2 linked regions of the Saccharomyces cerevisiae S288C genome follow. The protein of the gene in region 2 binds, or shares a complex with, the protein of the main gene of each other region. Each region holds a gene or a part of one and is shown on either strand. Other genes may lie near its edges.

What was found.
Region 1: TUL1 (region 2) and DSC3 share a complex: the UniProt entries of both Saccharomyces cerevisiae proteins name them as parts of the DSC E3 ligase complex.

The regions. Positions count from the first base shown.
Region 1 is NC_001147.6:757,518-761,160, reverse strand, and holds DSC3 (Dsc3p), read right to left. Parts: upstream 1,380-3,643; coding exon 501-1,379; downstream 1-500. Other genes in the region: DNA-directed RNA polymerase core subunit RPB8, read left to right, coding at 1-336; ODC2 (mitochondrial 2-oxodicarboxylate carrier), read right to left, coding at 1,908-2,831; MCT1 ([acyl-carrier-protein] S-malonyltransferase), read left to right, coding at 3,603-3,643. UniProt on the Saccharomyces cerevisiae protein: Component of the DSC E3 ubiquitin ligase complexes that tag proteins present in Golgi, endosome and vacuole membranes and function in protein homeostasis under non-stress conditions and support a role in protein quality control.
Region 2 is NC_001143.9:369,999-374,930, reverse strand, and holds TUL1 (ubiquitin-protein ligase TUL1), read right to left. Parts: upstream 3,103-4,932; coding exon 826-3,102; downstream 1-825. Other genes in the region: YKL033W-A (haloacid dehalogenase superfamily protein), read right to left, coding at 1-426; UGP1 (UTP glucose-1-phosphate uridylyltransferase), read right to left, coding at 3,541-4,932. UniProt on the Saccharomyces cerevisiae protein: Catalytic component of the DSC E3 ubiquitin ligase complexes that tag proteins present in Golgi, endosome and vacuole membranes and function in protein homeostasis under non-stress conditions and support a role in protein quality control.

The sequences.
Region 1 (3,643 bases), on a different chromosome or scaffold from region 2:
TGCAAACTAACCTTGGATATAAATGTTGAATTGTTTCCCGTCGCCGCACAAGATTCTTTGACAGTGACTATTGCATCCTCTTTAAACCTCGAAGACACCCCAGCTAACGACTCTTCTGCGACAAGAAGCTGGAGACCTCCACAGGCTGGTGACAGATCCCTTGCAGATGATTATGATTACGTCATGTATGGTACCGCTTACAAGTTTGAGGAAGTAAGCAAGGATCTAATTGCCGTTTACTACTCATTCGGTGGCCTCTTAATGAGATTAGAAGGTAACTATAGAAATTTGAATAACTTGAAGCAAGAGAACGCTTATCTTTTGATTCGTCGTTAGCAGCATTGGACCGAGTGCTAAAAAAAAGGGCGATCACTTACTGCTACTAGTAATATAAATAATACTTTATAAAAGTGTAAGAATGCCATGTAAAATACTAAAAATTGAAAAAAAAAAAATAATATCATTATTGTACATGAAAACGACATCTAATCGCCTCACTACTAAAAACCTCTCACAAGACAAAACATAACATTAACAATCACACCGGCAAAAATCGCCATTTTTTGCCGTCTGTTGAACAATCCATCAAACTTCATTAATAGTATACCAAAGACGCCGAAGAAGAATCCGACACATATACCTAAAAGCAAGTCTTTGTTGTGCTTTATGTTAGCGATCGGCACAGAGTTAAACCTGTCTTCATTGCCGCCTCCGGCCCCATTCCCCTGAGCGGTCCCACTCCCGCTTTCCATCCACTGTTCCTCCAACTGTCTAATGTCATGGCCCTCATCATCTCTGTTGCCATTTTGAGCAAGTCTCTCCTCCTCCTCCTCCAAATCTCCATACGTGGCCCGAAACTGTTGCCTCAGCAGTTCGATTTCTTGCTCAGTAAATCCCACGGATCGTAGCCTATCAAACCCGATGGCCTGCGTGGTCATGGAGTCATTGGACGGAGTTGCATCGTCCTTTAGATCTTCGTTGGCTAACTCTGCTTGTGTCAGCTCCTCTGTACCAATTATACAATGAATATAGTAGTTGTTCTGCTCTGGTGCCACGCTGGTGCCTGTTGCGACGTTAGAGTTATTAGCAGTATCGAAGTAATGCGTCAGTTCCTCAGCAATCTTGGAATGCGTATTCAGAATACTCCCGTTCCTTATAAACTTCAGTCTTCTTTTTTGTGTTTGTTGGGGCCTCAATTCTCTACACATCCGACGTAGCCAGTGGGTATTTATATTCGAAAATGGTACATTTGATATGTTCAACTGCAGATCCCTTACTGATACGTCGGAAAACCGTATCACAATGAACTTCTGATCTGGGGACCTCACTTCCCCTCCCTGCGATCCGTTATGTGTGGGTAATAATGGTTCTGCGGACATAATTTTATCAATGTATGCTGCCTTTCACCTCTCTCTTTGCTTGGTTTATATCACAAGCGTCTTCTTTAATAACTCAAGGGACCCTAATACGCCGTTCTTTATATTCAACTCCGGGTAATGGAGATAGTATATATATATTTTTTTTTCCTCCCAGTGCAACTATAAAAAGAGATGAAGAATTTCTAAAGAGTACTACCTCGGTTTTACTTCTTGTATATTTACTCTTTTTATTTCAAATTTTAAAAAAAAACCATACAAAATTAATCGTGCGGATTAATAATCCAGGACTATAAAACCGTGTTGTTTATATCGAGTCTCTTTTGGTATAAGCGTCAAGTCCATCGGAGAGATCATCATTTTGTTCATCTTAATGCCCTTTTGTGTAGGAAATTGAGGGAAGTTTAGGCTTCTCAACATTTTAAGACGCCTATGCAAGGGCTGGTAGGACAGACATGCTATTCTTATTTTGACGTAGAAATAACGTAGTTAAGATTGAAGAGGAAAGAGGTATTCTATATACAATAAATATCAGTGTCCGTACTTCAGATCCCTGAAAAAGTTCATCATACCGGTAAAAACCACCAACATTAATGAACCACCGGGTGCTAGTCTACATACTTTGGGGACGAAACCTTTGTACAATGCTCTGAAGCCTTCTTCACGGTATATGACCAATAGCGAAGGTAGGCACCAGTTGTATTTTTTAACAGCACTGCTGACCGCGTCCACACTTTGGATTCTGGATTTCACCACGTCAAAGGGAGTGTTAAGCATGGTCCCGACCGTACCACCGATCGCACCTGCAATAAGGTCATTTCTGGTCTTTTGTCCCTTTGTCTTTGCTACGGGCATGGAATTTCTCACTTGGTAGATAACACCGAAGTAGCCACCATTCCAAAGAGCGTTTCTCCACATGGTAGATTCGATACCCTTGTATAGCCCCATAATACCTTCGTTTTTGATTGTTTTTTTCAAACAGTCCATTGGTCCAAGATAGCTGGACTTGACGTCTTGCATCCTGATTTTGATCAATTCAAATGGAACAATAACTGCAGCTTCTGTCATACCAGCAGATGCACCAGCCGCAATGGAGATCTTCTGCGTAGTTTCATTCGTGTTGAATAGGTTTTTGAAGATTTTTTGATATTGATCGTTACATGCAAATTTGGTGGCTCTCTTTGGTGCTTCCATCAACATTGGTGAACTAATACCTCTGTAAAGTCTGCTAAACCCTTCCTTCTTTACAATTTTTTTCAAACAATCGATGACACCATTATATCTCTCTACTTGCTTTCCTACTGCAGCGGCAGTAGGCGTCGTCACCTCCAGTTGAAATCTTGTCTTAACAACATCAAGCGGATACATAACAGTTAACTCAGAAATACCGGCGACGGCACCTGATATGAACTGATATATAAAAGGCAATGGCTTTGCGTTTGAGTCTGATGACATATTACTTTGATGCTACCTCGAATTACTTGACTATATAGAATCTAACCCAGTAAAAAAGTGCAGAAGAGCTTCAGACTGAAAAAACGAAGAGAACGTTTTATAACAGAATTACTTGCAAATGCATGTCGAGTCGAAAGTGATCGCGACTGCACTGAGTCATCAACAACAAGATCTTTCGAGATAGACAGGCAAAAAAAGCTCACCACGAAAAAACTGAAAAAAAAAAAGTTCCAGAGGAATTTGCCTGGCATAGAATAATAGCATTCGTAGTACCACTATTTCATGTTAGAAATGCACAAGCAATTGAATGTCAACGACAGAAGAGGACTAAGTAGTATGCAGAAGAACTAGAACTCCTATCTGAGAAGAACTAATTGGTCAACCATGTCTCATTGTCCTTACATTTGATAAATGCCGATCTTCTAAAACAGTAAACACACGTTAGCATCGCCTTGTGTTAACGAAGTAAAAAGGCTTGCTAAACCGAAAGTACACAATATGCTTGTCTTGAGAAAGTTGGAAGAAAATTATAGGCCCTTAAATATACTCAAAATGCAGAAAGTGTCATCTTCTTACATGGCATTTTTTGGCCGTATGACAAGGCGCATTTCAACCTCCGATGGAGGAAGTAAACTGAGTATCGAACTCAAGGGTAAAACAAAGCTTACCAGTAACTTGCTGCATATTAGAACTATTCAATAACGTACACTGAGGGTAGTAACAAAGCGTTTTGCACTTTTCTGATCGTGGTACACATATATAAGCGTTTGTATGAAGCTACTAACCTTCCCAGGTCAAGGGACCTCCATCTC
Region 2 (4,932 bases):
ATCATCACCAGTGACAATGGTATCGAAAAGATCAAAACCTTCCTCTAAATGACTTGTTTTGCCGCGAAATTTAGTCTTGTTCGAAGACGTACATAATGCAATAGGAATGTTCTTTAACTTTAAGTATTTCAACAAATTCAATGCACCGGGAAGAAATTCGCAAGTACCCCATTTAAGAGATTGCAATGCAACATTTCTTTCGTCGTACTCATCTAAAGTTATTGGTAATTTGTAGTGTTCGATCACCCTTTTTCCTGCTTCCGGTCCCGGAAGCCCTTGCAATTTAATCTTCACATCCCAAGTTAAAGGTCCCTTACCAAATTCTGCGAGAGTTTCATTTAAAGTTTCAGTATAAATATCCTCTGTGTTGATGAGAAGACCATCCATGTCAAATAGACATGCCTTCACTGCTACAGGATGTGTCATAATTTGTTAAAAAAAAGAAATTTACTTTTGCGTTCTTATTGTCAAAGAAACAAAAGCAGTGTAATTGGAAGGCAGTGACGGTCTTAAGATTCCCCAACTTGGAGTTGGAGCGATTTAGATTCACCTCAATGGATCTTGATCGGCAATATTTTCCCAATAATTAATTCCTCGAAAAATGTGTCATACGGAAAAAGGGTAACACTAAAAACCCTTGTGAATTATCCTAAGTCTAGTTTGCCTATTGTATATTTAAGCAAAACTACTTTAGTGGTAATAAAAAGTTAATGCACTATTCATGTAAAATTTCTTATTGCAATGGTTGACAAATAGGAAATGTCACGGTATCTTGGATCTTGAATACAAATACAGTATATAGTTCTTAGGATCAAGAGATGCTATCTACAACGGAGGTAATGGTGACCTACACACAGGACATTGTAACTTATAATTCATCCAGTTTTCTAGACACGAAGTATGAAATACGTGATTACAAGGCGTTACCATGTAAGAGTGCTGATCCACCTTATGAGTTTCTGGAATTTCCTCTATGTAAATTGGAACATCAGACATACATATCGCGCAATCAACGGTATGTTCAGCAGTTCCACCACCATGCTCCGATATATACTCGTTTGAAAGGGGCTTGAAATACGAATATCCATCAGGTATTGTGTGCTTAGGCAAGAACCAGCGCGATCCCAATACATCTTGAGAATACAGTATACTAATTTGAAACAGTAGCCACAATGATAAAAATACGACGAAATGAACATCTTTATGGTGCCTGAACACATTAGAGGAGTAAGTGAAAACATACACAACGGGCAAGCTTCTAATTATTGTTGTACCAATTACAAAACTCCACAATAATGGCATTTTGTTTTGACTTCTATTTCCTCCAATGCTAGATCTTGCTCTTTCTCTTCTTGAAGGAATACCTTTAACGGCGTTACGGAAAATTTGAGGGATCCAATATGAGTTTAATATGAAGATTAGGATATACTCAAATACCATCCTTAGCTGACGGGGCCATGAAGTTGAACTCAATATTAAAAACGTGAAAATGATTAGCATAAAGAAAAACCTACCATATAACGAGCCACCGATAGACCCTTCATCGGGAATGAATGCGGGTCTTGGCCTATTCTCATCATATGTGCCAGTGTTACCACGCAGGAGGTTGATAATCCCAACATTCTGTTCGTTAACCTGTGAAGCGTAAATTGAAATTAAGTAGCGTATTTCAAAAATAGATGCCAAGATAAAGCACGAAAAAGCACTTATAACTAGGGGTAAGTACAATTCGGGAACGACACTAGCTGCGACAAAGTACAAAGTGGCCAAGGAACCATCGACTAAGTTTATCATTGAGAAACAATAGAATGAGATTTTGTTGACCATGGAGGGGGTATTTGTATGATGCATCTGAGTAAGCAATAAGTATATCTGGGCTGCAAATAATGCAATACCGAACAATAGATGTTTTCTGATCGACATTATTTTTAATTCGTACCGTGTACCCTTTACGTTATGAAGCCCTAATCGTACGCCACAGTCTGGAGAATACAGTAATCCAGAGACAACATTTATGGGCGGTAAACTAGACAGATTTGCCGGACGCCCCAGGGGCCAATTCAATTCATCATCTATTAACTTGATCTGATCTCTTGTGTACTGATTCCATGGTTCCAACTGAAGAAAAATCAAATACTCACATTTAAAGTTGGCATTATTATAAGCATCCTGTACGTCTTTCATGGTCATGACATCTGTGTAATCCGTGAAATTCCAAAATTCATCAACGAGTTCCTTGACATCATTAAATATTTTCTCATTATAATCATTCTGGAAGGACATGTAATGAGGAAGGGCGAACAATGAATGAAATTTAGAACTCTGAGAAATAGAAAGAATTCTACCACGTTGAATGTCATATACAGCCTTCGAGTATATGGAATGCTTTTCCTTTTCAGCCTTATCTGAGAAATCAATCTGAAGATTTAACAACTTCCAACGGTCATTTTTCTTATTTATGAAATTTCTCCTTAAGTAATTATTATTGTCCTGAAGATTGCTCATATGAGAAATTTGAATAGCTATTTCGCCATGCTGAAAACTCACATTATGAAGTTCGCCATACGAAGGCCACTCAGACCAGTACGTCTCACCTTCAGGAGGAATATCCTCTGAAAAATCAGTTGCCGGCTCATAGAATCTGGGTACAGGCATCCTTATCTTTTCGTACTTGTTATTTGATACAAGGTCGATTTTACCTAACAGGGTGCTTGTAATATTGGGAGGGAAAAGGTTGGAAGCGTCATCATTCGAAGTATTCCAGACTTCAGTATTTATGGCCTCTATGACATCGTTGGGCAAAACCATGTAGTTTTGATTGGGAAACCATCGATCATAATCTTTTCCTGGTAGTGGGTAAGTGGCATTTTGGAGAGGATTATTCAGCATGTCTTGGTAGCTGAGTTTAAGCCCGGTAATATTTCGAAAACTATCTGTATATGTCATATTGACGAACGTATTGTGCTCTGTTCGGAACTGCTGCTTGAGTCTCTGGAGTTGATTGAACTCATATTGAGAAGACACACCATCACCACCCGGTGAGGAGAAAAATAGGAAAAGGATCACTATTATGAACACCAGAGTGTTGCCATCGATTTCCATACTGTACTTTTGCCTCTTTTGCTGTAGGACTTTCCTTTTTTGCCTGAATTAGTAGAAATACGGGACAAATGTAACAAACGAGATTGAACTTGCTTTTTTACAATATCTTTTGGGGTGATAATTGAAAGATGACGATCCGAGCTTGTCACCTTTAACTTACGTTTATTCTATTTCCCTAAAGTTCACAGACCCTTACCCCGCCAAAGGAAAATCTCTATATATACTGAAGCTACGCTTAACAAATATATAACATGACGTGAGTGAAGAATTATGAACACTAAGCTTCTTTTGCATTTTTTTTTGCTTCTGTATAAGTCTAAACATATAAATGTGTATATATTAGAGATATATAACCCATTGAAAAAAAAAAACTGCGTGTAGTAGAATAAATAACCTAACGGAGAATTGAAAGTAAAAAAGGGATTGCAAGCCGCACCTTCAATGTTCCAAGATTTGCAAATTACCAGTAACGACAACATTTTCCAATATGGAGCCGTTTGGAATATCGATTTTATGACCGTCGGAGCAAACGATGATGACAGTACCCCTCAAAGTGACATCTTTACCTAAAAAGACGTTACCAGTGATGGTCAAATGATCTAGCTCGACGATTTTTGGGATGTGAGGGATTCTTGCGTTAAAACCAGAAACCTTTTTGAAATGCGAGCCCAACTTGATTAATGGGTTTGGACCAAAACGGGATGGGTCTAACTTCAAAGAACCGTGTTCCAGACGGAATAGATCTGATTTAACCAGCAACAAATCGGAACAGGTCTTGACAGGCAAGAATCTTGATCTTGGAACGACAACACCGTGAGCACCATCAAAATGCCTGATAGCAGCACCACAAGCGGTTTCTAATTGTAAGACATTAATTTCATGACCGTCTCTTGTTATAGTTTTTTGGTTTGGAATGATTTCCATCTCCAAATTGCTCGATTCGATCAACCTCTTTACTGCTTTCAGATTGATCCATAAGTTATTCGTGTTGAAGTTGGTAAACTTTCTGATATTTTTGAATTCGTCAATGTGTTCTTTTGGAACTTGGGCGACTTCCAATAAACGGACTTGACCATCGTAAGAAATCAAAGTACCACCTTTAACATCGGCTCTGGTCTTATCAGTCAATTCCATTATATATTCGGCACCAGTCTCGATCATGTGGTTTAAAATTTTTAAGTCGACGGTAGCACCCAAGTTGTCACCGTTAGAAACAAATAATATTTCTCTTCCTTGGGCAATTAAGGCATCCAGTTCACCAGATACGTGTAAAGATTCAAACAAATCACCGTGACCTGGTGGATACCAAGCATCCAGTGGAGAATCGTATTCGGTGGGGACAGGCAATAAAGAATCCTTGTAGACTCTTGGGAACCTGGATTGATTGAAAGATCTGATTCTGATTCTGTTAGCGGAATACTTCTTAATCAAGTGTTCCGTATCCTTGTCAGTGTTGAAAGAATTCATCAATAACAATGGCACGTCGCTATCGTACTGTCTGTTCAAGTATTCAATTTGACGAACAGACAAATCCAAAAAGGTGTTTCCCTCTCTCACTTCAATAACAGATTTAGGGCCAACGCAGCCCATGGAGGTACCCAGCCCACCGTTCAACTTCAAAACAGCCAATTTGGAAAGGTTTGAGACATTCTCGGGCTGCTGAGAAATAATTTCATACTTAACCACTTCATCCGGGTTGGGAGACTTGATCTTGTCCCATTCCAAGGTGGTTCTAGAAGACTTCTCTACCAAATATCTCCTGAAAAGCGTGAAAAACGAATCCAGTTCGTTCTCAAACTTAGCGCGAGCAGCATCGTCAAGTTTACTAGA